Linked DNA regions of Oryctolagus cuniculus. The protein of the gene in region 1 interacts with the protein of each later gene in a biochemical or structural test. Links are inferred from orthologs where the notes say so. Each region holds a gene or a part of one and is shown in the gene's direction. Other genes may lie near its edges. The genes, in order: CTNNB1, MAGI1, AKT1, CHD8, TCF7L1, GSK3B and AXIN1.

What was found.
Region 2: the proteins of CTNNB1 (region 1) and MAGI1 form a complex in vitro, tested with the Homo sapiens proteins (2 studies listed by BioGRID and IntAct, with this or other methods). The link is inferred for Oryctolagus cuniculus from reciprocal best matches to the Homo sapiens genes CTNNB1 and MAGI1.
Region 3: of the proteins of CTNNB1 (region 1) and AKT1, one has a biochemical effect on the other in vitro, tested with the Homo sapiens proteins (2 studies listed by BioGRID). The link is inferred for Oryctolagus cuniculus from reciprocal best matches to the Homo sapiens genes CTNNB1 and AKT1.
Region 4: the proteins of CTNNB1 (region 1) and CHD8 form a complex in vitro, tested with the Homo sapiens proteins (3 studies listed by BioGRID). The link is inferred for Oryctolagus cuniculus from reciprocal best matches to the Homo sapiens genes CTNNB1 and CHD8.
Region 5: the proteins of CTNNB1 (region 1) and TCF7L1 are reported together in a solved structure, tested with the Homo sapiens proteins (2 studies listed by BioGRID, with this or other methods). The link is inferred for Oryctolagus cuniculus from reciprocal best matches to the Homo sapiens genes CTNNB1 and TCF7L1.
Region 6: of the proteins of CTNNB1 (region 1) and GSK3B, one has a biochemical effect on the other in vitro, tested with the Homo sapiens proteins (11 studies listed by BioGRID and IntAct). The link is inferred for Oryctolagus cuniculus from reciprocal best matches to the Homo sapiens genes CTNNB1 and GSK3B.
Region 7: the proteins of CTNNB1 (region 1) and AXIN1 form a complex in vitro, tested with the Homo sapiens proteins (2 studies listed by BioGRID). The link is inferred for Oryctolagus cuniculus from reciprocal best matches to the Homo sapiens genes CTNNB1 and AXIN1.

What each region holds. Positions count from the first base shown.
Region 1 is NC_091441.1:106,476,750-106,480,249, reverse strand, and holds part of CTNNB1 (catenin beta-1), read left to right. Parts: intron 1-167; coding exon 168-271; intron 272-348; coding exon 349-687; intron 688-911; coding exon 912-1,070; intron 1,071-2,733; coding exon 2,734-2,853; intron 2,854-3,073; coding exon 3,074-3,224; intron 3,225-3,317; coding exon 3,318-3,439; intron 3,440-3,500. UniProt on the Homo sapiens protein: Key downstream component of the canonical Wnt signaling pathway.
Region 2 is NC_091441.1:84,208,541-84,212,040, forward strand, and holds part of MAGI1 (membrane-associated guanylate kinase, WW and PDZ domain-containing protein 1), read left to right. Parts: intron 1-1,211; coding exon 1,212-1,415; intron 1,416-3,500. UniProt on the Homo sapiens protein: Plays a role in coupling actin fibers to cell junctions in endothelial cells, via its interaction with AMOTL2 and CDH5. May regulate acid-induced ASIC3 currents by modulating its expression at the cell surface.
Region 3 is NC_091451.1:46,976,398-46,979,897, reverse strand, and holds part of AKT1 (RAC-alpha serine/threonine-protein kinase), read left to right. Parts: intron 1-2,134; coding exon 2,135-2,263; intron 2,264-3,500. UniProt on the Homo sapiens protein: AKT1 is one of 3 closely related serine/threonine-protein kinases (AKT1, AKT2 and AKT3) called the AKT kinase, and which regulate many processes including metabolism, proliferation, cell survival, growth and angiogenesis.
Region 4 is NC_091443.1:53,484,804-53,489,034, forward strand, and holds the start of CHD8 (chromodomain-helicase-DNA-binding protein 8), read left to right. Parts: upstream 1-1,431; 5' UTR 1,432-1,533; exon of another isoform or gene 1,534-1,755; intron 1,756-3,834; 5' UTR 3,835-4,001; coding exon 4,002-4,041; intron 4,042-4,231. UniProt on the Homo sapiens protein: ATP-dependent chromatin-remodeling factor, it slides nucleosomes along DNA; nucleosome sliding requires ATP. Acts as a transcription repressor by remodeling chromatin structure and recruiting histone H1 to target genes.
Region 5 is NC_091433.1:117,471,410-117,475,406, reverse strand, and holds the start of TCF7L1 (transcription factor 7-like 1), read left to right. Parts: upstream 1-1,197; 5' UTR 1,198-1,331; coding exon 1,332-1,574; intron 1,575-1,658; coding exon 1,659-1,722; intron 1,723-1,944; coding exon 1,945-2,072; intron 2,073-3,997. UniProt on the Homo sapiens protein: Participates in the Wnt signaling pathway. Binds to DNA and acts as a repressor in the absence of CTNNB1, and as an activator in its presence.
Region 6 is NC_091435.1:76,548,021-76,552,098, reverse strand, and holds the start of GSK3B (glycogen synthase kinase-3 beta), read left to right. Parts: upstream 1-1,278; 5' UTR 1,279-1,329; coding exon 1,330-1,417; intron 1,418-4,078. Other genes in the region: transcription factor SOX-4, read right to left, coding at 1-917. UniProt on the Homo sapiens protein: Constitutively active protein kinase that acts as a negative regulator in the hormonal control of glucose homeostasis, Wnt signaling and regulation of transcription factors and microtubules, by phosphorylating and inactivating glycogen synthase (GYS1 or GYS2), EIF2B, CTNNB1/beta-catenin, APC, AXIN1, DPYSL2/CRMP2, JUN, NFATC1/NFATC, MAPT/TAU and MACF1.
Region 7 is NC_091450.1:34,342,523-34,345,184, forward strand, and holds the end of AXIN1 (axin-1), read left to right. Parts: intron 1-81; coding exon 82-189; intron 190-1,119; coding exon 1,120-1,287; intron 1,288-1,638; coding exon 1,639-1,765; 3' UTR 1,766-2,162; downstream 2,163-2,662. Other genes in the region: PDIA2 (protein disulfide-isomerase A2), read right to left, coding at 2,436-2,480, 2,596-2,662. UniProt on the Homo sapiens protein: Component of the beta-catenin destruction complex required for regulating CTNNB1 levels through phosphorylation and ubiquitination, and modulating Wnt-signaling.

The sequences.
Region 1 (3,500 bases):
AGAGAGGAAGGGAACAGTAGCTGTTTGACAGAATGTCACTAATGAAATAAAGTGGAATAGAAAGGGACCGGATATAAACACTCAGGGAGGGACTACAGAGGGTGTTTAGGACTGATGGGGATGTTGAGCCTACTAGCCACTGCCGTATCTGCTTTGTAATTGTCCAGGAGGAATGCAAGCCTTAGGACTTCACCTGACCGATCCTAGTCAACGTCTCGTTCAGAACTGTCTTTGGACTCTTAGGAATCTTTCAGATGCTGCAACTAAACAGGTAAATCCTAAGGAAACTGTGCTTTTGTGATGAAATCAAAGGGAATGTGTACCAAGCCTCTGTTTTTATCTCCACAGGAGGGGATGGAAGGGCTTCTTGGGACTCTTGTTCAGCTTCTGGGTTCAGATGATATAAATGTGGTCACCTGTGCAGCCGGAATTCTTTCTAACCTCACTTGCAATAATTATAAGAACAAGATGATGGTGTGCCAAGTGGGTGGTATAGAGGCTCTTGTGCGCACCGTCCTTCGTGCTGGGGACAGGGAGGACATCACGGAGCCTGCCATCTGTGCTCTCCGTCATCTGACCAGCCGACACCAGGAAGCGGAGATGGCCCAGAATGCTGTTCGCCTTCACTATGGACTGCCAGTTGTGGTGAAGCTCCTGCACCCGCCATCCCACTGGCCTCTGATAAAGGTAAAACATCAACAAGGTAGAATGCTGCTGAACTGGAAATGACCTGCCTCTAACTATAGGATGGATATCTACGCCAAGGGGTTGATAAATAGGAATTACATTTCTTAGTAATAAATGTGGCTGGGGACAGGTAGGATTCTGAAGTGTTGGCGTATAGATTTAGTGTGGTGGGAAACTTCGGGTAAGAAAATGATTGTGTTGAGTTGTATTTTTCTTACCTGCAGGCTACTGTTGGATTGATTCGAAATCTTGCCCTTTGTCCAGCCAATCATGCACCATTGCGTGAGCAGGGTGCCATTCCACGCCTAGTTCAGTTGCTGGTTCGTGCACATCAGGATACCCAGCGTCGCACATCCATGGGTGGAACACAGCAGCAGTTTGTGGTAGGTGAATCTTGGTAGAAAGGGCCAGCTAAGTCCAGAGGATCCTGAGCTACATGGCTTATTGGCTCTGCCAGTGCCCTTCTTGAGAGGAGTGTGAATGGCTAAAAAACCTGACAGTGTTGTGTGGGAGCAGAGATCCTGTGGACCTCACTGATGCTGCTTAGGCATGTGCTATGCATGATCAGCCTTTGAGTTTGGAAGTACTGGTACTCACCCAACACAGGCTCACCTCTTCAGGAAGGAAGTGTACTAGTTGAGTCATACTGTGAATAGAAGTCTCTCTGATGGAAGAGTTTCTTATCCCCCACTATAAGCTGAGTTTTGCACCAAAGTATTTGACAGGCCTTTTTACTCTCTCTTCCATGAGAGTTTTAACAACTGTTTTCATGAACTTAAAACTGTAATACTGAATTCAAAATAAGTAGTAGCATTTATGCAGTCTTGATCCATAATATTTTTAGCCTAAAGCTGTGATGTTGACTATTAAAACACATACTACACATGTAGTTAAACAAGGACACTTCTCACCTTTTAGACATTTTTTTAAAGACTCAAACCTTTTAAAAGTTTTCTCTAATTAGGCTCCTTTAAATAAGAAACATGGACCTTACCAGGACAGAGTTTGATAATCCCATTTTGCCAGTAGGTCTGTGTGCGTGTGCACTCATTTGCACTCCGGCTTTGGCTTTCTGTTCACTGCTTTTGGTGTTAGCCCATCTCCATAGAGTGCCTTAATAGAATGCCAAAGAATATCTTGTCTGGTTTTTTGAATCTCAGAGATTTTGTGTCCTCACGAAAAGTCAAGTTTCTATTTTTAAAACGCCACTAAAAGTATTAGAATGATAACGGAAAGAAAAACCACTCAAACAGGAAGCAGATGGTACTTCATTTGTAGAAGCTAACATCCTTCTTCACATCCAGGCTATCTGTTGAATGGCCGTAGGAGAATCGCCTGCAGAGTAGGGTTTCTTGTGATGAAACTTTGTTCACCAAATACATGTAAACATACAGGACTAGAAGGGGCACATGCCGTAAAAACATAGTTTGAACATCACTTCCCATCCACGTATCTTCTCTGTTTATATACTTTTTAGTCAAAATGATCAGTGCCCTTTTGTAAGAAAGTTACTTTGGGATTCAGAGGTCCATGGGAATTGTACAGTTAGCCCTTAGTATCTGAAGGAGATTGGTTCCAGGACCCTCTCTGGATACCAAAACCCACAGATGCTCAAGTAATGCATGTCCTCCTATATATTTGAAGTCATCTCCAGATTCCTTATATTATCAGTATAGTATAAATCATTGTTATACTTTGTTCTCTTTATAATTCCCTAAACAATAAAGTCTAAATAGTTCACCGTAGATGCAGGTTTTTTTCCTTTTAATAGTTTTGGTCTGTAGTTGATTGAATGTGGATTTGGAACCCAAGGATACAAGGCCGACTATACTTTGCGTATCACAGAGGGGTGTTGCTTACCAGTAGTGCCACTAGGAAGCCTCCTTTTGGTGACATTCAGGTGAATGGGAATCCTCCTTTATTCCTGCACTAACCAAAAATTACGGGGAGCTTTGGGCAACTGTAGTCTAGTAATTGCTGCTCAGAACCATTTACAGACTTTAAAGAGAAGACTGTCCTGTTGGTTAACCATGTTTCTTCTGGTAGGAGGGAGTCCGCATGGAAGAAATAGTGGAAGGTTGTACGGGAGCCCTTCACATCCTAGCTCGGGATGTTCATAACCGAATTGTAATCAGAGGACTAAATACCATTCCACTATTTGTGCAGGTATGTTGATTTTTAAATGAGGTGTTCTAGATTTTACATGTCTAAAATTTCATTGTGTTTCAGAAAATTAGGGACCAGAAAGATAGGGGAACTAACATTTAATTTTATGAAAATTGCCCCCTCACACACCCATTTTTTTGGTCAGTAGAAAGGAAAACATTGGGACTATAGCCTGTGTTTTAACTCTGGGTTTTCATTAGGTTTTGTGTTTTCTCTTTAGCTGCTCTATTCTCCCATTGAAAATATCCAAAGAGTAGCTGCAGGGGTCCTCTGTGAACTTGCTCAGGACAAGGAGGCTGCAGAAGCGATTGAAGCGGAGGGAGCCACAGCGCCTTTGACAGAATTGCTTCACTCTAGGAATGAAGGTGTTGGTGAGTAGAAAAAGAACCAGGGCTGTGGTGGCTGTCGTGTATGGTGAAGTCTCACCTGTTCCTTAAGGACCTTTTGTTTCTGTCCTTTCCCAGCCACGTACGCCGCTGCGGTTTTGTTCCGAATGTCTGAGGACAAGCCACAGGATTATAAGAAGAGGCTTTCGGTGGAGCTGACCAGTTCTCTCTTCAGAACAGAGCCAATGGCTTGGAATGAGGTGGGCAGCTGTGTCCGCACGTGGAACTGGAGCCTGTAGAGCAGGGAAGGCAGCTTGCTCT
Region 2 (3,500 bases), about 22 Mb from region 1:
AAGGAATTAAAGTGTATTTTCCTATACAGCTTACCCTCAAGGTCTAGACTTACCCTCAAGGTGGAAGAACCTATTTAGATTCTAGGTCTTCCATGTTAATTTTATTTTCCTTTCCAAAAGGTGGCTCAACTGCGTAACTGATTTCATGGTCCCCCAGATTGGCAAATTCTCAAAATAAGTGAACCTGCATGAACAGCTTTCAAACTCAGTGTATGGTCAGCTAGAAACTTAACGCCAGGCTGCAGAGCCAGTTGCCCACCACTCTCTAGAAGTTAACAATAGCATTGAGTGCCTCAGAGTGCTCACACAATCAGCCTTCCTCTTCAGATGCCCTTTTCCTGGTTTTTCTTAATGTGGGCATATGGTAACTGGTGATGAAAAGGACGATCATGAGAGGGAAAGGGTTGGGGAATTATTCGAACCTTACTGTGAATCAGGTACTTGATTTTCATCTTCCCTTAAGGTTATCTTTGCGAGGCAGGAGCAAGATTTCAGAGGTGATGAGAGCCAATCCAGCCCTACCTTGGAAGCACCCAGGATGGGCTGATTGAGCAAAGATCCTGAAAGGAAAAGTGAGGTTCAACGTTAGGTGTTCTCTTGGTGCATCTGTTGTCATGATGCCCTTTGCCTAAAGCTTTGGAGAGAAGGTACCAAGTGCCAGTGTTTGCCCATCAGGTGTTCGCAGATGGAATTTTCTGTGCTAGCCGACTCTCATGCCTCACCACAGAACCAGGGATTGTTTTTCTAAAGGGAAAAAGAACTAAACATTGGCAGAAGCTTGCACAACAGCTGGCAAAAATGAAGTGATGGGAACACACAATGAGTGAAGGCAGCCAGCCTCCCTCTGGGTTTCACATTGGCAGTCCCAAAATAAGCTGGCGCTGAGTTATTTAGGGGCTCTTGAGAGAATTTCCGAAGTTGCCAGATTTCCCAAATTTTGTAATTGCTGTGAAGAGAGAAGCTGGGGTTTTCCGTCCATGTTGAATCAGGAAAGACTGCAGCCGTGATGTCTGGTTTCGGGGACGCACTCCTTATTAGCCAGGAGTTCGCCAATGTTCGGACCATGGGCGCCGAGCTCTCCTTTGAATAACATTTGCTTAATGCTTTAATTAATTAACACTTAACCTTCTCTTTCCCTTTTCAACCCTTTTTCTCCTCCCTTCACTATATTCCCACGTAACTTTAAAAACAATTAAAACTCGATATCAAAGCAGGCAATGCATGTGTGGCTATGCCTCACAAAATAGGTCGGATTATTGAGGGGAGCCCCGCTGACCGCTGTGGCAAGCTGAAAGTAGGAGACCGGATCTTGGCAGTAAATGGATGTTCCATCACCAACAAATCCCATTCAGACATTGTCAACCTAATCAAGGAAGCAGGAAACACGGTTACCCTTCGCATCATTCCTGGGGATGGTAAAGTATACTAAAGCCTACCTTTTATCCCTCCCCCTCTCCCTCTCTCTCCCCCCCGCTTCTTCCCTTTCTCTTTGTGTGTGTGTCTCTCCAGGTCTCTCTCTCATTAGTGTTAATGTAATTGGATAGTGTTGACATAGAAGCAGCTCTACCCACTCCTCACTAAACATACCCATCAAACAAACATGAACCATTGTTACTAAACTATAGCTCACCTTCTTATTTAATTAATCCTCTAGTCCCATGACCCTTACTTACTGCGGATGCCAAAGTTGCATAAATTCTTCAGCTCTCTCCCATTTATTTTGGTTTTGATGTTCAATAGAATAGTTTCAGTGCAGGTAGGAAATATCACTTGATGTTCTCTCTAGAAATCAGATATGGATTTTTTTAAACAATAAGCTAAAATTGAGCTATATAATATGATGACATCACAAAACCTAGTTAATGGCAAGGCAGAGCCAATATTATGTTTTTTTTTCTTTTTTCTGAATGAATGAATTATAATAGTTTGTATTTAATAGGAGCGTCTTAGGGTTTATGCCTACTTGATTTGTTCCAAATGTATAGAGAAAGAATTAAATATATATATTTTCAATACATTTTGTCTGTTAATCCAGGTAGGTGCTCTTTTGCTTGAGTGGTTAATTCAGACTTGGGGTTCTTTTGCATTTGTGGAATTCTACCTCCCAGGGAACATTTGGCTTCATCTGCAGTGGGTGCCAATAACATCCAGTTGGTCAGACCACATCTTTTCCCATAGAAATGTTATGCAGCACAAAATAGCAATATTCATCCTCTTATTCAAATCTAATAAAAATGAAGCTATAAGTATTGATTCCTTGAAGAATTAAGCCCTGAATGTTGACCTTCATATTAAGATGACTTTGTCCTCGGGAGAAAAGTAATACTCGTCCCAAAGTGTTCACTTTTTTTCATTCTTGCTATAGATATTATAAAATAAAATTCTCAAAGTATGATTTCCTCAAGAGGAAAATGTGGTTTATATGGATACTGTGATAAAAAGTCTATGCTGAGGATCTGTAGAAGGAGAAGATCAGTGAAAGTTATTCAGCAAATGAATAATTTTGTATATTAGTTTTAAGAAAATGAGCCTTATAGTTCAAAATTGAGTGGTCTAATCAGGACTTTCCAGGAATTTACTTTCAGAATAAATATTTGAAAGTTGTTGATTTCAAGAACAAAAAACTTTGTCAAAAATAGCACACTGGTGGTGAAGGGAAAATGCATATTCTTGAATGGTGGTCTGCTTCTCCCTCCTCCTGCTAAGTTGTGGATAGGAACTTATGGTGTGTTCTGGGGCCCTTCCACCAACTCACCACTCCGGAAAGTTATTACCCTGTACAGAAGCAATTGCAAGATGAGAGACTATAGATTCCTAATGGAACAAATGAAGGAAATCAGAAAAATAAAGCAAGAACTGGTTGAGAGCGCCACATTTACTCTGTAAATTTAGATACATTTTTTCTATGTGCCATGGAGAGACTTCAAAAACAAAGTCAGAAGAACTGGGTCTGTTCTAGTCAGGAGCTTGAAATCGGGAGAGACATGAATATGCAAAAGCAGCTTATACTGAAGCGCTCGTGCGCGCACACGTGCACACGCGCACACACACACATTACATTTGACTTAATCAGGTATGATGGAAAATATTTATGAAAACTTGAACACCAGTTGGAAAACGGGCATATTTTTTTAACCTCTAGTACTTAAAAATATAAAATTCAGGTAGGCATCTCGTGTGCTGCCTTGGTTAGGACAAAGTGAACATGAAGTAGGTGTAATAAAGTGAAGGAGTGATTTTTTTTTTTTAAGGCAACACATGGTCTGCTGTGGTTGTGATCTCATTCAGACTTTTTCAGGAGATGGTTGTTGTGAAAATTAAACTCTCCACCAGTCACTTTATAACTGTCAGATGGCCGGTAAAGGGAATCAGGTCTGGCAAAGGGTGGACATGGGTTGCACATATTTTAAAAGGAGCTGAGAATTGCCATCTTGGAAATTGGAGTCGAGGCAGAGGAGTTAGATTGGTGGAGGGAAAATCTTGCTGAATCCGCTTCCATT
Region 3 (3,500 bases), on another chromosome or scaffold:
CCCCAAGCATTGTGTGGTGTCCCCGAGGCCAGAGCTGACCCAGGCCGGGTCGCAGGAAGCTAGCTAACCCTGTCACCCTGCTAAGGGCAGCCATCCCCTTCTCCCTGTCCCGGGCATGGTGGCCTGGAGCCTGGACAGGACCTGGGGCTCCGTGCAGCACCTCAGGGGCCACCACTGTGCTCCCAGCCCAGGGCTGGGTTCCAGGCTGTCCTGCAGGTGGGCCGGCCAGCAGTGGGGCGGGAGCGGGTCCCACCCGGGCATCTGCACCTCCTGATGGCAGCGCCTGGCTGGACCTGCCTAGAGGGCAGCTGAGCCTGCTGGAGAGGCCCTGGGTGGAGCCTGGCACCGCCACAGGTCTGAAGGGGGGGGGGGGCGCTGAGGAGACCCTGCGCTGGGCGCCAGTCGCTCCCTGCCAGAGGCCCAGGCCCCTCTGGACCTCGGGGTGGGCAGGTGCCAGTCTGCAGGTGTGCAGTGGCCTCTGCCCCCACCCTGGCGGGGCCGGGGGTCTCAGGTCCCACGTTGCTTTGGCTGAACTTAAGACGAGGGCTGTAGCCCAGGCACGGCGAGCACTGTGGGTCCCCATGGGCCTGCCTGGCCGGACGCAGAGGCAGAGGTGTCCCTCGGCCTGCTCCTGGCCCCCGTGGAGGGGTCTGTGTGCTGAGGGCAGCCCCCTCACCGACACTGGGGGTGGGGGCCCTGTGTGTGCCGTGTGGCGCAGGACCGAGATGGATTTCTGGGGCGCGCGCGGGTGCTCATCAGTCTCCCCGCTCGCTCAGCGTCCTGGGGAGCGGCAGCTGGTGGGATGGCAGGCACTCCATCAGGGGCCGACAGCTCCAGACTGGCGTGCAGGCGGGTGGGCACGGCGCCGGGCGGCCCGGGACGGGGGGGCTGTGCAGCCCCCAGAGCCCGCTCCGCTCGCCCCCTGGAGCCCCTGCCTGCCCCCACCTGCCCAGAGGGGGTGCCTGTGGTGGGCTGGAGCCTCTTCCCTGAGGGTCGCCCTTTGCTCCTGCCAGAGGCCCCGGTGGCCCCAGCCTGGCGGGGCGGGGTGGGGGCTGCCTCCAGGCTCTCCCAGGGGGGTCCTGGGTGGGGAGGGCGGCTGGCCCCAGGACCCTGCATACAACCCCTCCCAGCTGTGGGGGGCACCCTCATGAGGGGGCAGAACCTTGTCCTTCCCCCAAAGCAGCCCCCGCCGCACCTGAGCGACCGCCCCCTGCATTGTGGGGTGGGGCCTGTTAGCTGGCCTGCCCCCCTGGGCATCGGGGTGTGGCCTTACTCCACTGCTCTGGTCCTGCTGGTGGGCTGGCTGGAATCAGGCCCACCCCAGTCCAGGCACAGTAAGCACCCAGGGGTGCTTGGGGGGGCCTCTTAGAGCCCTGGGCTGTGAGGGGGGTGGCTGGGGTGCAGGTCCCAGCCCAGCCCGGGGCTTCCGGGTCCCATCTGCAAGTGTGTCCAGGACCAGGGTGCAGAGTGGCAGCTGCCGGGCACCTGGGGAGGGAGGGCCACTGCCCTGAGTGCCTTGCCCAGGGGACGCCTGCCGACCCGTGTCCTCTGAGCTCCTCTGGGGGTGGCCTGTCCCTGTGTCGTCCCCAGCTCTCAGCCCACAGTGAAGCAGCTGCCTAATTAGCAACTTCCCTGTCGTTCAGACTCTGTGCTCGGCAAAATGTAAATGAGGCGTTTTCTCGGGTGTCAGTGTGAAAAATGGCGCAGCGCGGCTCCACGGAGCATCTGCCGTGTCCCCGAGCGCCGCGGTACTGGGGGAGTCGGCCCCCGCGCCTGGACCAGGGGCTGTCCCAGGGTGGGCGGCAGCTCTGCCCTCGGCCCCAGGACTGTGCTGCTGGCCCTTCCTTGCCAGTGCCAGGCTCTGTCCTCTTGGCTGGAGGCCGGCTCAGGCCAGCAGCCACACCCTGGAGCCTGGGTGCCCGGCCAGTGCCTGAGCTGGGCACCAGCTGACCTACTGCCTCCCCCTCCAGGAAGGCCAGGTAGGTGGGCCCAGGCCTCCTCCCCGTGTCCCAGGTGTGCAGGTGGGCCTGGCCCCTTTCCGGCGCAGCGAGCCTGCCTTCCCGTCCCCCACCCTCTGCCTGGCGTAGCTGGCCAGCGACCTGGACAGGGGCCCTCACCGCCTGTGTCCTCACAGGGGAGTACATCAAGACCTGGCGGCCACGCTACTTCCTCCTCAAGACTGATGGCACCTTCATCGGCTACAAGGAGCGGCCACAGGACGTGGAGCAGCGCGAGTCCCCACTCAACAACTTCTCTGTGGCACGTAAGTGTCCCCTCGGCCACTCCGGGTTGGACGTGGGGCGGTGCCTGGAGTGGTCCGTGCCCTGTGGGACTGGGGGCCAGCCCTGGCTGGCGGGGGCCTGGGCCAAGCTGCATGGCTGTCCTGTGGAGCTGTTCCCTGAGCCTCCTGCCCAGAGGGGACAGCTCGGGCTATAGGGAGCCTCCAGGCTCTCCCAGGGGGGTCCTGGGTGGGGAGGGCTGCTGGCCCTAGGACCCTGCATACAACCCCTCCCAGCTGTGGGGGGCACCCTCAAAGCTGGCCAGTGCCACTTTTTCCCCTGCCTGGCTCCCCAGTTGTCCCTCCCACGATGCTGGCTGGGGCCGGGCAGGTCCACTGCCACTTTCTACCACCTGGCAGCCCAGCTCTGCCCTGGGGCTGGCCTGGGGCAGCTGGGGGCGATGGGCCTGCCAGCCGTGGGCCTCTGGGTTCTGCCCCTCCCTCTCCTTGGCCAGCACCCTGGGGTCCTCTGGCCCCTGGCCTTCAAGGGCCACCCAGGTTCTGGTTTGGGGGCTGCAGGGAGGTCTGGCACAGGTGGCTCGACCTGGGCGTCGCCCTGCCTGTGGGCATCTGCGTGGGGATGGGCTGCGGCACTGGCTGCTGGGTCATCCCTCCCGGGGCCCACTCTGTGCTAGAGGAGGGGCCTGGCCGTGGGGATTCCCGTGAGCCCCAAATGCCACCCTCCCCGGCCTCAGGCCCAGCTTCCTGGGCCGGAGGCCACCAAGGAGGCGCAGGCCAGTTCCCTGGAAGCCTTGCTATGCCCGCTGTGGGGGTGAGGCAGGAGGGGCCTCTGCAGAGGAGCCCATGGGGGCAGCGCCAGCCGGGGGCAGGGGGCGCTGCCTGGCCAGGGCGAGAGCCAGCGTGTGTGTGCGGAGGGCCTGTGTCCAGGGGCTCTGCCTTGTGGGAGGACCGAGTGAGCTTCCTGCCCGCACAGACACAGGCCGCCTCCCACCAGGCTGGGCCCCGGGCCCCCACGCAGCCCCTCGCCCGGCAGACCTGGCCCTCGTGGTTGCCAGGGTGCTGGTGCTGGAATGCACACGCTCCCCGGCTGTGGGCGTGCGTGCTACAGGCACACGTGTGGCAGGCGTGCGTGTTCCAGGGGCGTGTACTGTAGGTGTGCGTGTTCCAGGCGCGTGTACTGTAGATGTGCATGTTCTAGGCGTGTGTACTGTAGGTGTGCGTGTTCCAGGGGCGTGTACTGTAGGTGTGCGTGTTCCAGGCG
Region 4 (4,231 bases), on another chromosome or scaffold:
ATGGGGTGCAGGGCCCAAGCACCTGGGCCATCCTCCACTGCACTCCCTGGCCATAGCAGAGAGCTGGCCTGGAAGAGGGGCTACCGGGACAGAATCCGGTGCCCCGACCGGGACTAGAACCCGGTGTGCCGGCGCCGCAAGGTGGAGGATTAGCCTATTGAGCCACGGCGCCGGCTCCCTTACAATTTTAAAGTAGTTATTAGAAAATTGCTGTCTCCAGTAGGTTTTTTTTTTTTTTTTTTTTTAAGATTTATTTATTTGAGTTACACAGAGAGGTCCTCCATCCACTGATTCACTCCCCCACCCAAATGGTTGCAACGGGCAGAGCTGCACCAATCCGAAGCCAGGAGCCAGGAGCTTCTTCAGGGTCTCCCACGCTAGTGCAGGGGCCCAAGGACTTGGGCCTACCTCAGAGTAGGCCACAGCAGAGCTGGATCAGAAGTGGAGCGCCTGGGCTTCGAACCGGCGCCCATATGGGATGCCACCGCTTCAGGCCAGGGCGTTAACTCGCTCTGCTGCGCCACAGTTTCTAAAGTTGTCACCTAACGGTCCTCCTTCTTAGATACCAGTATAATTTTTCCCATAAATCCTTTATCATTTGCCTTATTTATATTCACAAGTAGTTTGGCTCTATTGATGAGTTTTAAACCTTTTAAATAATAAGTAAATAAAATCTTCCCTGAATCAGGGCTCTCTGTATTGCCAAAGTCAGAACACTGGAAAATTTGCAAGTAAAGCAAACTCCCAGAATAGATACACAACCTATGTCGGTCATATGTTGATAATCCCAGAGGTATGAGGTGTCTAAAAAATTACCCTAGAGACTGGTTCACACCCGTCCTCATTCCAAGAATTAATTTTTGCCTCGTTGATAAAACCGCTTCTCTCCTACAGATAGGTGGGAGGCGAGCGCTGGCTGCCTCTAACCACGTTTAGCATCATTCCAGAGCGCCTCCTCACGACTGCGGGACATCCTGCCTGCAGGAGCGTGCGGGGTCCGGAGCTCAGGCGCGGGACGGAACGCCGAACAGGCCTTCCCATTCTTTTAAGGCGCTCCTGCCCCCTCCCCGCCCCAAGGCAGCAGCCGATCCAAGATGGCTTCCCCGAAACAGGCAACTGAGTGTTGTTTTAGGTTAGAGCGCCCCCAACGGCGGGGGCCAAAAAAAAAAAAAAAAAAAGGGACGCCCAGAGGCCTGGCAGCCGGTGAACTGAGCCGTCAGCGCCGATCTGCCGCCAGATTTTATTTCCAATCAGGCATATCCGTGGCTGCCTACGTACCCTACTCAGCCTTCTAGGCCCTCCCACTCTCAAGAGACTTCCTGGATGGCGCTCACCCTAGCCCGCTGGAAGAGGCTGGGCCCCGGCCCTGCCATTGGTGGATGGGAGCGCAGGTGGGCGGAGCCTTGGGAGAATGGACTACTAGCAAGCTAGCTTGAGGCGAGGGCTGGCCATGCTCCGCCGGAAGGCGCCTTGTTCTCCGAGAGGGTGAGTTGAAACGCTGAGTGTGGATAGGAGGAACCCGGACTAGTTCAGGTAGGCTTCCCGCTCACACCCACTTCTCAGTGCTGCTCCCGGAGTTTTTGCAGAAGCGAAGGTCCTTAGGATGACTTCGCTGGCTCCCGCCCCCCCCACCCCTCCCCGTCTCCCAGTTGTGAGGGATCAGGTGCTGGGTGATGCTCTGGACTGAACCATTCTCCTTTGTGAGAGGCTGGGGGAGAGGGCGGCTGCCGGGCCGCGGGCTCCGAGCAGGGCCACGCCGCGAGGGGACTGCTTGGGCCGCTGTGGAGTTTTTAGGGCTTGGCATTGCATTGCTGGGCGTGGTGCAGATCGGAGGCAGCGCCTTGTTCTCCTTCCCCCGTTCGAGGAAGGGAAAACTCCCCGGCTCCGTTTGGTTACTCCGTACTCTGAACTCAGAAGTGGGAGGTTAGGGTTCTCCTTCCTTTCCTGCTTTCTTTTTTTCTTCTTTTTTTCTTCTCTTGTATTTTAATAATGAAGGTGGGTAGGAAAGCCTGAGGTGAGCGCGTGTGGATGGTTATTGTTCTTGCGTAGGAGTGATTTCTCCGGGTCTTGGGGGTGGGGTGGGGTGGTGAAGAGCAAGCTGTCGGAGAGTGTTTGGAGACGGTGGGGAGACAGCCGCTGAAGCCTCGGGTCTCCCTTGACAGGTCTGCAGCGCTCACTGCTTTTCTGTTGCATTATATAAACTTCACCGGCAGAAGCCCCCTCCCCCTGCCTCCTAGCCGGTGCAGTTTCTTTATTTACCTGTCTCCAGTGTCTGCTACTGCAGCAGCTGTGCAAATGCAGCAGCTCAAGCCTCTTCAGGGGCGGCCCTGAAGTCACTGAGGTCTTTGCACAAGAGGTATATATGGTGGGCCAGTCTTTCTTCGGTGACTGAGCGAAGTGAGGCAGAAGTCACAGATTTAGGACTCCATGCTATTTCCTTTTAAAGAATTGAGAGTGGAGCGCCCTGCACCTAAGCCAGGGGAGCTGCATGAGCAGCGTCTGCTGCACCCTCACATCGCATCAGCATGCACAGATCATTCCCATGTCCTCAGTCTGTCCGAGTGTCTCGGGCTATCCTTGGCAGTAGCCCGAAGTCCCTTATGGTATGGAGGCACATCAGATACTAGAAAGTGAATTTGTGATTTGGATAATATCTTCTGTTGAAGGGTTTTCTGGGAATGGTCAACCAGTAGGTTTCAGAACAAATTCTGATCAACCTTGTACGGTCAGAAGTGGAGAACTTCTTATTCAAATATTTTGGAATTGTCCCAGCCCTCAAAAGAAGTTGGGAGAAAAGCAACATTTGCCATTTAAGAAAACCTTTTGTTGCCAGCGTGCAGTGCCAGTGGGCCTGCCAGACAAGGTGAAGGACATTGCCAAAGAGAGGGTAGATGTGTGTGGAGAGACAGCGTTGGAGGGAGGTTTAAAACTAACAGCAAAGGAGTAATGCATTGGGGTAGGGATTTGAGGGAGCAATGTGTGGGGTGGGTACTCCACACAGTTCACACCTTTAACCACATTTGGTCCGTCCTGGCTTTCTGATCTTTTGATTTTGTCAGGTCTCAGATAGACAAAGTCCATTTAGATTTGGATAGAAAATACGTTTGTTTAACTAGTTGGGAATCACTAGGAAATGTAGATCTGGTATGTTCTAGGATGGCCTTCTCTGTAGCACCACTGGATGATTAGGTAGAGGAATTCTGGCATTGTGATACTACTGCAGAATTTTATTGTAACAGGAAAAAAAATTGACTTTATAAGAAGGATTGAGTTTTTGATAGGTAATGGAGGATGATAAGAAAGATCATTCTTTCAAAGAAACCGTTGTACACATTTTTGAAAAGAATAAGAATTTTCTAAACACTTAAGATTAATCTGTGGGTGCCCAAACCACTTGGTTTTGGAAAGGATGAAGTTGGATATTCTCATCTGTATAAGGCCTGTAACACTGAGTTGAATGCTAAATGCTTTAGCAATACTGTTTGCTATTAGCCCTGGAAGAGTTAAGCTGTCTTCTGAGTTTTCATTGAACCTAACACCTAGGAGAAAAACTGAAGGCAAATATTTCTCTGGAGTCTGTACCCTCTGGTTGGTCTACTTCTGGACTTGGATTTGAGCAAGTCCTATCTTCAGGTCGTTGAATGACCTGACCTTGTACTACTGTGACCACACTGGTATTTACCGTTTTACCTTTAGTGTTAGATTCACTGATAGACTGTCCTGTCACTGAACATTCACTGACATTGTGCTTTTGTTGCCTGTTTAGCTCAGACCTTTATTTACTTACTTATTTCAAAGGCAGAGAGACATTTTTTCCACTGGTTTACTCCCTAGATCTCCACAACAGCCGGGGCTGAAACCAGGAAGCCAGGAGCCTGGAACTCTATCTAGGACTCCTAGATGGGTGGCAGGATCCCAACTATTTGAGCCATCGCCTGCTGCCTCCCAGGGTGCATGTTAGCTGGAAGCTGGAATCAGAAGTGGAGCCCAGTGGGTGTCCTATGTGGCATCTTAACCACTGTATCAAATGCCTGCCTCTAGGTGAGACCTTTTAAAGAATGTAAAGAGATTCTGATTTTCAAGATATGATTCCCTTGGTATCTAGAACCAAACTGACAGTCATATTCCTGTGTAACAGAAGTGTTATAAGAACAGTTTTCTTTGCCTGAAAGTTTGTTTGACCATTTGCTACAGTCTAAATTCTGTCCTGCATTACAAATTTTTCCCCTTA
Region 5 (3,997 bases), on another chromosome or scaffold:
TTCTGCCTGGGTGGTTCCACGTGGATTCTCACTGTAAGGAAGTCACAGGGTTCATTTTCCCTGTCTCCCTCGGAGTGACCTGGCTCTCTCCACGCGCAGGGAAGTCCTCTCTGTCGGCTGGGTCTGGAGCGGTCTCGGCTCTTCCCCCGCTGCCTTCCAGTCTGCTCTCAGCAACAGATGCCGGTGAGCAAGGCTAGTGCGGGTTGAGGGAAAGTGTTGTTCAGACTTTCCGAACTGGCTGCAGAGGGTTGGTATCTTACTATCATTCATTGTGACAGCGTTTCTTTGCCTGGAAGCCGTCTGGGCAGCCTCCTTCACGTTCACGTGCTGCCGAGTTAGCCAAGTACACGGCTTCGGCAGTCACTGGTCAGATAATTCTACCTCGTAATGAAGCGAATTCGAATCCCTTCTAAACCCAAGAGAGCGATTATTCGATTTAGGACTTAATTCCCAACCACAGAGGAAAGAGTCATCTTGGGGACCTCATCGAGGCTGACTGGAAACCCGGATCTAGTGGGAAAGCCGGGCTGGGGCGCGGGGCGCGCTGAGACCCCGTCAGGAAAGGTGGGTGGGGGCGGGAGGCCGCCCGCCACGTTCCCGAGCGCCAGGAATTCCTCCGTCCCCGGCTCTGCGCATCCGGCGGCGGCGCCCGGGGCTGCCGGGACCCCGCGCTCCCGGGACGCCGGGCGCTGGGGCGGATCTGCGCGGCCGAGGCTTTCCCGCAGGGGGCAGTGCCGGCCGCTCGGACGGCGGGAGGGGCGCGACTTCGCGCAGAAGTCTGGGGGCTCTTGGCAAGAAAGTTGAGGGGCTGCGAAGGGGCGGGGACGGGGCCGTCCGGGCTCTGGGGCTGGCGGGCAGGGGGCGCCGGCGCGGTCGACGCAGCCCCCGGAAGGTGCAAGCGAGCGGGGAGCCAGGGCGAGCGCCAGTGTGCGCGCCGGCTCTCCGGGCTCCGCGGGCGCGCGGGTGTCAGCTTGCAGCCGGGCTCCTCCCTCCGGCCCCCCTGGCCGGCCGCGCGGTCCCTCCCTCCTTCCCCGCTCGCCCCTCCCCGGCGGGCCAGGCGCTGGGACGCCCCGGCGGAGCAGGCGGCGGCGAGTTGGGGAGCCCCAGGCTCGGCGCTGCCGCAGGGGCCCGAGCCGAGCCGCCCCCGCCCCGGCCGGGCAGCGCCGGGCCCGCTTCCCGCGGGGCCACGCCCTGTCAAAACTTTGTTGCGGCGGCGGCGAGCGGAGCGGAGCGGGCCGGCCAGCGGGAAGGAGGGGCGCCGGGCCGGGCCGGGCAGGGCGCGGGCGGCCAGGGGCTCGGAGAGCAGCGGCCCCGGCCCGCGCGGCCCCACCATGCCCCAGCTCGGCGGCGGTGGCGGCGGCGGCGGCGGCGGGGGAGGCGGCGGCTCGGGCGCCGGTGCGGCCGGCGGAGGGGACGACCTCGGAGCGAACGACGAGCTGATCCCCTTCCAGGACGAGGGGGGCGAGGAGCAGGAGCCGAGCAGCGACAGCGCCTCGGCGCAGCGGGACCTAGACGAGGTCAAGTCGTCCCTGGTCAATGAGTCGGAGAACCAGAGCAGCAGCTCGGACTCGGAGGTAAGGAGGCGCCCGCGGCCGGCCCCCGGGGGACCCCGGCCCAGCGCTCGCTCACCCGCCCTCGCCTTTGTGTCTCCTCCGCAGGCGGAGAGGCGCCCGCAGCCCTCCCGGGACGCTTTCCAGAAGCCGCGGGACTATTTCGCCGAAGGTACGTGCCCGGCTGGCCAGCCTCGACTCCCGGCGCCGCTGCGCCGCGCACCTCGGTTCGCGCGGCCCGCGCTCCCCTTGCAGGAGTGACCAGTCCCTGCCCTGCGGCCTCCTTGGATCGCGCGTCGGGGGCGCTTGGGTTTGCGGGGCGGGGGTGGGATTCCTCGTGCCGTGGCGCTGTCCGGGGGACCCGGGCCTCACCCCACCTTGGTCTTGTCCTCAGTGAGAAGGCCCCAGGACGGCGCGTTCTTCAAGGGCCCCCCTTACCCTGGGTACCCCTTCCTGATGATCCCGGACCTGAGCAGCCCCTACCTCTCCAACGGACCCCTGTCTCCGGGAGGAGCGCGCACGGTAAGCGTCGGTCAAGCTGCGCCGGGGCGGCTGGGGACCTGGGCCGGTGGGATGCGCCCCCGGCCCGGCCGTGGCGTGGGGGATGGGGCCTCCTGCGCCGCTCGCGGGCAGAACTTGTTTGCGGAGTTGCGCGGCTCTGGGGCGGCTGCGCTGGCCGCTGCCTGGATGGAAGGAAAGTTGCTGTAACTTCTCCCCTGCTGCGGGCTGAGGCTATGGGGCCCCACCTGTGGGATCCTCCTTGACCTCTGGGAGTCCGCCCGCCGCAGAGGAGAGCTTGGGTTTAGTGTCTGCTTTGGGGGTCTCGTTTTCCTTTCTAGAACTCGGTCAGCTTTCCTTGGCAGCTGGGCAGGGGGCTGGGGAAGCCGGGCTGGCGACGCTGCTTCGGCTCCCCGAGTTCACTGGGTGGCTGTGAGCTGGTTCCTAAGAAACCCGGTGGTGGTGGCGGGTTATTCCCAACCCCGTTTCCCGCCCCCAAGCCCTCGCTGCCGGGGCCTCAACTTTGCGGCGGAGCCCTGGATTTTAAACTGGCCGAGAGAATCCCGAGGGCGACCCGAAGCATTCTTCAAGTTGAGGAACTTGGCTTTTTCCCCCTTTTGTTGCCGGCTTTTCTCATTTAAAGCGAGCGCTGGGACACTTTAAACCTGTTAATGGGCGCGCATTGTGTGCTGCGCGCTGGCATTTAGAGCGGTGATTAAGCAAATTGACCGGGCCCCAGACGACGTGCAAATGAGGGCGGATTCCTTCGCCCCCTCTCAGGCGCTCGACTCCCGCCCCCCGCGTTGCGAGGGGCACAGCTTGAGACGGGCGAAGCCTTTGTGTCCCCGGAGCCGCCAACCCGTCCCTAGGCTCCCTGCCCAGGTGCTGGGGCCGACGGCTGATAACTGGGTGAGCGCCTGCCCACTGTGCGCCCGGCGCCGGAGTCCTGCCGCTGGGTCGCTCCGCACCTTGCTTCTCAGGGCCCGTGCCAGTCCATTCTCGGTTGGGGGGCGCGGGGACGGGTTTCTGTTAGGCGCTCTTGTTGCAAGACAGGGTGTGGGAACAAGCTCTGCTGGAGGGCGAGTGGGTGGTACAACATGGCCCGCACCGCTTTGGCCTGCTGGACTGGGGCATCCCGGGAAGTTCTGAGTGTGTCGTTTTTTCGCGAAAGCTGCATTTGGGCCTAAGGGCTGTTGCATTTTCCCAATCGGATGAAAAGAAGTGCACCTAAAAGTGGAACCCAACAGGCTGTGGCAGCTATGGTACTGGTGCCTGCAAATGGTGATGGAGAGCTGCTGAAACTTCTGGGCTGGGGGCTGCGGGGAGAGCTGTGCCGCTAAGATGCCGCTTTAACGTTTACCATTAGGAAGGAAGCGGGGAGTGAGGGGGGTGGAGAGGGACCAGCAAGCACCAGCTTTGGGTGTGAGCCCTGAGCCAGGTCCCAGTGATGGGGAAGTCGCCAGCTGTGACTGTCCCTCTGCAGCAGGTTGTTCCTCTAACACCCGGTTCCCTTGAGGGCGTTTTATTCTTCCCAGCTTTCTAGTTCACATCTAGGACCATGACTGCGACAACTGCTTTGTCTGCTGCCCCGCGGTCAAACAGTCCAAGTGAAACATTTTCTTTATTTCTTTGTTTTAAAGATTTTATTTATTTATTGGAGAGGTAGGGTTCCAGACATCGAGTATGAGAGACAAAGTTCTTCCATCTGCTGGTTCACTCCCCTGATGGCTGCAATGGAATTCCTGGTTGTCAGATCCTGGCTTGGGTGGGATTTGGAGACCCTCCTTGGGGAAGCCGAGCCTTCTTTTCTGCGTCCTCACTCATCCATGCAACTGCTCCCTGCCCCGACCAGTGTCGTCATCCTCCCTTTTGGGGCAGTCACGACACCCACCATGCCCTCTCTTGAGGACTTAGCATCCCGCTCCTATAGCTCTGTCTTGTGCCCTGGT
Region 6 (4,078 bases), on another chromosome or scaffold:
CATTTTCCGCTCTCTAGGCGAGGCTTCCCGGGGGCCCATTCTAATTGGCTCTTCAGGCCGATCGGCTTTTTCCGGGAGGAGCCGTAAAGAAACGACGCCCGTGATTGGCTTCGCTGGGGGTTCGGCTCCGCCGCCGAAGAGGGCGGGCGTTGGGCTCGGCCGGCGATTCCCAGACGCCTGTTACGCGGGCGGCGGGGCGCGGGGCGGTATAAGGCTGGGTGGGGGAGGAAGGAGGCGGAGGACGAGTAGGAGGCGGGGAGAGGGAGGGGGAGGGGGGAAGGCGCTAGGCGGCTGCGCAGACGGAGCTCCTCACACAGAGCAGCCCCCGACCCGGGCGAATGCGGGTTTGTGCTGCCGCTGCCGCTGCCGCCGCCGCCGCCCGGGCCGAGTGACAAAGGAAGGAAGGAAGCGAGGAGGAGCCGGCCCCGCAGCCGCTGACAGGGCTCCGGACTGGGGGCACAGCACGGACACTTCCTCAGCGGACACGGAGCTGAGGCGCGGGGCGTGAGGGCGGCCGCGCTGGTGCTTTGGACGGGGGAGGGGGCCCCGAGGGAGACGGAAGCGGTTGCCGGGTTCCCATGTCCCCGGCGTATGGGGAGCAGTCGAGGAGCCGCTGCCTGGGGTCTGAAGGGAGCTGCCTCCGCCACCGCCGCCGCCATGGCCGCTGGATCCAGCCGCCGCCTGCAGCTGCTCCTGGCGCAATGAGGAGAGGAGCCGCCGCCGCCGCCCGCCTCTGACTGACTCGCGACGCCGCCGCCCTCCAGGACGCCGGGCCCCCGCCGGATCCCGCCGCTGCCGGAGCCGCAGCGTTTCCCGTCGCATCTCCGAGCCGCCCCCTCCCTCTCCCTCCCTCCTTCCCATCCCCCCTTCTCTTCAAGCGTGAGACTCGTGATCCTTCCGCCGCTTCCCTTCTTCATTGACTCGGAAAAAAATCCCCGAGGAAAATATAAAATCCAAAGTACTTATTTTCAATCAAGTATTTGTCCCCATTTCACGTGATTTTTTTTAAGGAGTCCCCCCTCCCAGGAAAGGGAGGGGAAAGAATTGTGTTTTTTTTTTCCCCTCCCCCAGCCCCAAATCATCTATATGTTAAATATCCGTACGGATCCGTCTTGAAGGAGAATACATCGCTCGTGTTTTTTTTTTTTTTTTTTTTTTTTTTAATATAGCTATACAAAAGAAGTGAAAAGCCAAGAGGACGAAGTCTTTTTTTTTCCTTTCTTGTGGGAGAACTTAATGCTGCATTTATCATTAACCTAACACCCCAATATAAAACAAAAGGAAGAAAAGGAGGAAGGAAGGAAAAGGTGATTCGGGAAGAGAGTGATCATGTCAGGGCGGCCCAGAACCACCTCCTTTGCGGAGAGCTGCAAGCCAGTGCAGCAGCCTTCAGCTTTTGGCAGCATGAAAGTTAGCAGTGAGTATTGATTTTATTTTACACCCCTTCTCCGTCTCACCCCTAAAATAAGCAACCTCGAAGTCCTAGAACCTTAACATACTAGACCTGATGGAACACTCACCAGAGCTAATGGAAAAGAGCAAGACCTGTCTTCAGTCGAGGATGAGGCAGCTCCCTCTTTTCTCCTCCCATAACCCCCTCCCTCGGTCTCATTAACCTTGAGTTCAGAGAGTACGATTTTTATTTCGATGATTCGATTTGAAACGTTTCTTGTGCTTTCCTTGCTACTGATGGTCGCCTTTATCCAGTGCTTGGGTGTTTCCACTTGGAAATTGTGATGGAAGCGTTTGCTTGCCGACCCTTTTGAATAAAGAGGACTAAACGACTCATAAACCATTATGTGCATTTGCAGAGTGTTTGTCTTTTGGAACGAGGGAGGAAATTCTGGTTAGCTCAAGTCTCGGGTTATCACAGCTTTGTGTACTTCATGGAGACATGAAATGTCCCAGTCTCCTAACGTTTCTCTTCGTGCTGGTGTAACTATACAAAGTATTTGTTCTTAACCTGGGGATGAACTTGCTCAGTAACCAGCATTCATGTGTGGAGGTGATCATCGCTCCCTCCCTTTACAAGGGGCTGATGGGAACAGATAAATATCCAGCAGCAGTAGCATCTCCAAATACATTGTCTTGAATTGGATAAGTGGTTTAATCTGTTATCTCTTAACCTTCCTGTTTTGGCATTACCAATCTGCCACCATATAATTTGTTTAATCAAAAGGTAACTTGGAAGGAGGTCCAAGTTTTGATTGAGGCGTATGTTGTCATAATGCCAGATACTAAGTTAAATGTTAATTGTCACTGACTCATTGTCATTTAAGTTCAATTTTGACGTGCTGTTGCATTTGTTACTTGTTAAAATATTCTAGAGTACAGAGGATTCCTTTTTAGGAATACTTAAAATATCCTTGCATCAGTTTTCTTGTAGATAAGATTGAATTTAGTTAGAGGAACATAGATTTAGTCCTTTCCATCATAGTTTTTGCAGAAGGTTGTCCTTCTGGAAATGGTAGGGCTGTCTGGGATGTGGTCTCAGGGTTGTTACCAGACTGTACTTTCACAAAGTCTGTTTTCTTGAGGTGTTTGTTATACTAAGTATCCAGTGATCCCACAGAGCTCTGTTTGTGAAGGGGTTTGTGTGGCAATTAATGGCAGGTTATTTAAATATACTTCCAGATTTTGACAAAAAAAAATGTTTATATTGTTTCCTTATTCTCTGAGAAAGGGGCATGAAGAGGGCAAACTATTTTGTTGCCTAGAGGAGCTAAGAGAACTGAAGAGCCTTAAACAGTAGATTCTGTTATGTGGACTTGATTACATCCTTAAGCAATATAAAATGTTTACTTTTAATTGAACTCAAGATTCCAATCACTTTGGCTTTTGGAACTTGCCTGAAACAGGATAGTCCAAGGTAATAGCTGAATGGGAGATTATTTTTGAGTTAATTTTTTTTTCAGTGACTAGCTAGTAGAGAATGCAGAGTATGTAAAGAGGGAAGCTGATTATGCATCTTTTTAGAGAAGGGTCATGCTTTCTAAGCCCTTCATGGGGTCATTTGAAAGAAGTTTTTTATTCTGGGGGTAATTTTTAGCTATGATGAAGCAAATATTACAATAGCTAATTAAGAGCCTCTTGTGATACTGCAGTGATTGTATGTTTTACATCTTGGTAATAATTAAAAAACACTGAAAGTCAGTTTTAGGAATATAATTATTAGATGTATTTCAGAGATCTATAATGCTAGTGTATAATGCTAAATTCTGGGATTTTATATTTTGTTTCTAGGATTTTCTTTGAAGATGACTCCTTAATTCTTGATGGCATACATGTTGACCAAGAATGGTGTGATTTTTGTAAAGTATGTAGGTTAAAATGTTTGATTTTCTGTTATCATGTCCTTCAACTTAATATTTAAAAAGTTGGAATTTATTGCTGAATATGCATTTTTGATAAGCCTAGCTTTAGGGATATTTAGAAGAAAGGGGAGTCATTAGGCATTTGTTAGGTGCTGGTGTTTTCAGGACCCATGTTCAAAAGAGATACATATGAAATTATAGTCCTTGGCTTCAAAAAAAGCTGGTCACTTAGTAGTAGAGGCAATTTATGGGAAAAACAATGAAAACAATGGCATTACGACTGCAAGGCAAAATACAAATTGAATCCTTTGTTCAGAGGGACAAAGAATAAAGGGGTGAGACATGCATTGGAGGGAGAAGGCTTCCTGTAGAGAAGGTGTGCTTTTAAGACAGGTGTTAAAGAAGGCTGTGTCTTGAATTGGTGGAGAAGCATGAAAGATTCTAGGTGAAAGGACTCCAGGCACAGAGATGGTGAGTTTTGTAGGAGAGGCAATAAATAAGCTGGTAAATCTGAATTATAAAAGCCTAAGTAGGAAAATAACAGGTAAAATTTGAGAAATATTGGAAGGATAGCTGACAGAGGGCAAGGGGTCTGAAAAAGTTTGACATTCATGAGAGCTCTGAACAGTTTTTTTTTTTTATAAACTTTATTTATTTTAATTTTATTGGAAAGGCAGAGAGACAGATCTTCTCATCTGCTGCTTCACTCCACAAATGGTCACAACAGCCAGGGCTGGACCAGGCCTAAGGCAGGAGCTGGAACT
Region 7 (2,662 bases), on another chromosome or scaffold:
TGGGGCCTCTGGCCCCACCGTGGCCTGGAAGGAGGCGTGGCGTCACCGGGCGCGTCCCCGCTGACACGGGCTGTTCCCTAGGCATGTGCAGGAGGTCATGCAGCGGGGTCGCAGCTGCGCCAGGCCCGCGTGTGTGCCTGTGCTGAGCGTGGTGCCAGCCGTGTCGGACACGGAGCTCTCCGAGACAGAGTACGTGTGCCCCAGGGCTCTCCCACCAGGGCCTGTGCTGCTGCTCCGGGGACACGGAGCGGCTGCGGCTGGAGGAGCCCCCGCGGGGTCAGGCCTCAGGCCGCCCCAGAGCCGTCCCCGTCTCCACCCGTGACGAGCGGCCACGGGGTGACGGGAGGCCTCTGGCCGATGCGGGCGTCTCAGCAGCCTCCCAGCCCTGCCTGACCGAAGACCGCGCTCTGCCCGTCTGGAACACGGCGGGGCCTGCGGCCAGGGGGAGCTTGGGACCGCTGCCGCAGGTGGTGCCGGCCAGACACCGGGCGTGCCTGCGCCTTTCAAGACAGCCGCGGGCTGGGGTCGCCCCGAGAGGGCCTCCATGTGGGCGTCCCCTGAGCCTTGGGCCTCACCACGCTGACCCTTGACAAACCCCTACCAGGCCCAGGGGCTGCTGCGTGCGCTCAGAGCCTCTGCTCCAGGGTTCGCCCTGCGCGGCCTTCCTGAACCCAGCCCTGGGCAAAGGTCCCAGGCCTGCGAAGCGGACAGGGTGGAGGGGGCCCTCGCGGCCTGACGGCCAGGACTCGGGCCCTAGAAGCTTCAGGTGCACCCAGCAGGAGGAGGGGCCGGGCCCAGTGAGGGCACAGCTCTCGCCTGGGAACAGGAGACAGCAGCCAGCGGTCAGGCTGTCGGCCCGGGCAGCAGGCCCTCTGCTGTGGGGCAGGCGCGGTTACGTCGTGCGTGAGGCTGCCGGGTAGCACAGCCCACCCTCCACCCAGAGCGGGTGGACCCCTGCCTCCTGGCCTGGGAAGCTGCGCACGAGTGTCCACGTGACGGGGGGAGCGAGCTGGGCGCGGGGGCCACGGCGTGCTCGCCCCGGCCATCTGTGCCTTGCGGGGGTGGGTGGCACCCATGCAGCCCCGACAGCCCAGAGGTCACCAGCGTCTCTGCCCTCAGGACGAAGTCACAGCGGAAGGGGGCCGGCGGGGGCAGCCAGGCGTGCGACAGCATCGTGGTGGCGTACTACTTCTGCGGGGAGCCCATCCCCTACCGGACCCTGGTCAGGGGCCGTGCTGTCACCCTGGGCCAGTTCAAGGAGCTGCTGACCAAGAAGGGCAGCTACAGGTGAGCCTCGAAGGGGCTGGGGTGACCCCTCCTCCACTTAGCCTCCCACGGAGCAGCTGCAGGACGGGGCCTGAGGGCCCCCGCGCCCACTTCTGGGCTCTCCTCTTGAAGGTGGGAGCACAGGCTCAGGCGTGGGGCTGCGGTCCTGTGTGCTCTGACCCGGGCCAGCCCCGTGGCCTCCAGGTCCAGCCTGTCCCCCACGACCGGCCCCTGAGCAGGCCTTGCAGGAACCGAGGGCGCACCAGGCCCCGGGCAGCAGGCCGCGGGCTCAGGGACAGGGCCTCCACCCCGGGCTGGGCACCCGCAGGCCCCTTCCTGCCGGGCTCCGCCCTCACCGCCCCGCCCCCACAGATACTACTTCAAGAAGGTGAGTGACGAGTTCGACTGTGGAGTGGTGTTCGAGGAGGTGCGCGAAGACGAGGCCGTGCTGCCCGTCTTCGAGGAGAAGGTCGTCGGCAAGGTGGAGAAGGTCGACTGAGCCCGCGCCGGGGCGGCCGCCTCCCGGAAGCCCTCCAGGAGCTGCCTGTGTGCAGCCAGCGTCTGGCTGACGAACAGCCGCCTGCCCCGTGCGGCCCCAGGAGGGGCCCATCCACTTCCCATAGCAATACTCGGAGAGTCTGGCCGGCCACTGGTGTCCCCGCTCGGCTGGCCCGGCCCAGGAGTCCCCGCGCGTCTCTGGACTGTACGTGCCACCCAGTGCCTTCCGCCAGCCGTCTCTCGCCTGCCACTGTGAGAGCCGCGCCGGAGCCGGCCCTGCAGCCCCTGGCCACGTGTAAATATGTACAGTTCCCAGGCCCGTTTTTCATGCGCTGACTTGTACAATGGTCTTTTCAAAGGTACTTGGATAATAATGAAATAAAAGTTTTTGAACCTGCTCTGGTGTGGAACACACCTGTTCGCTGCAGGGGCCTGCTGAGGGCACACGTCCTTGGCCAGCTCCTGGCACAGCGGGGGGACCCTGGGGCGCAGTGGCCGGCTCTGGACTAGGGACCCCCTGGGCCTGGCTCGACTTCTGCCCAGGGGCCCAGGAACCACGCACACGTCCAGAACTCAACCTCTTTATTCACAGCTGGGAGCAGGCCACCCCGGGAGGGGGTGCGGAGGGGGCCGGGCCGCCCCGGGAGGGGGTGCGGAGGGGGCCAGGCCGCCTACAGCTCTTCCTTGGGCTCCACCGTGGAGTTGGCCGGTGGCTCCTAGAGAAGAGAGAGGCAGAGAGGCCAGCTCAGAGCGCTGCCCTGCCTGCCTGCCTGCCTGCCTGCCGGGCCAGGGCTCAGGGTGAGGCCTGGACCCCTGGGCGGGGGTGCCCACCGGCACGGGGGCTGCAGGCTCCTCGGTGGGGGCGGGCAGCTCGCCCCCGCTGTCCAGAAACTGGGAG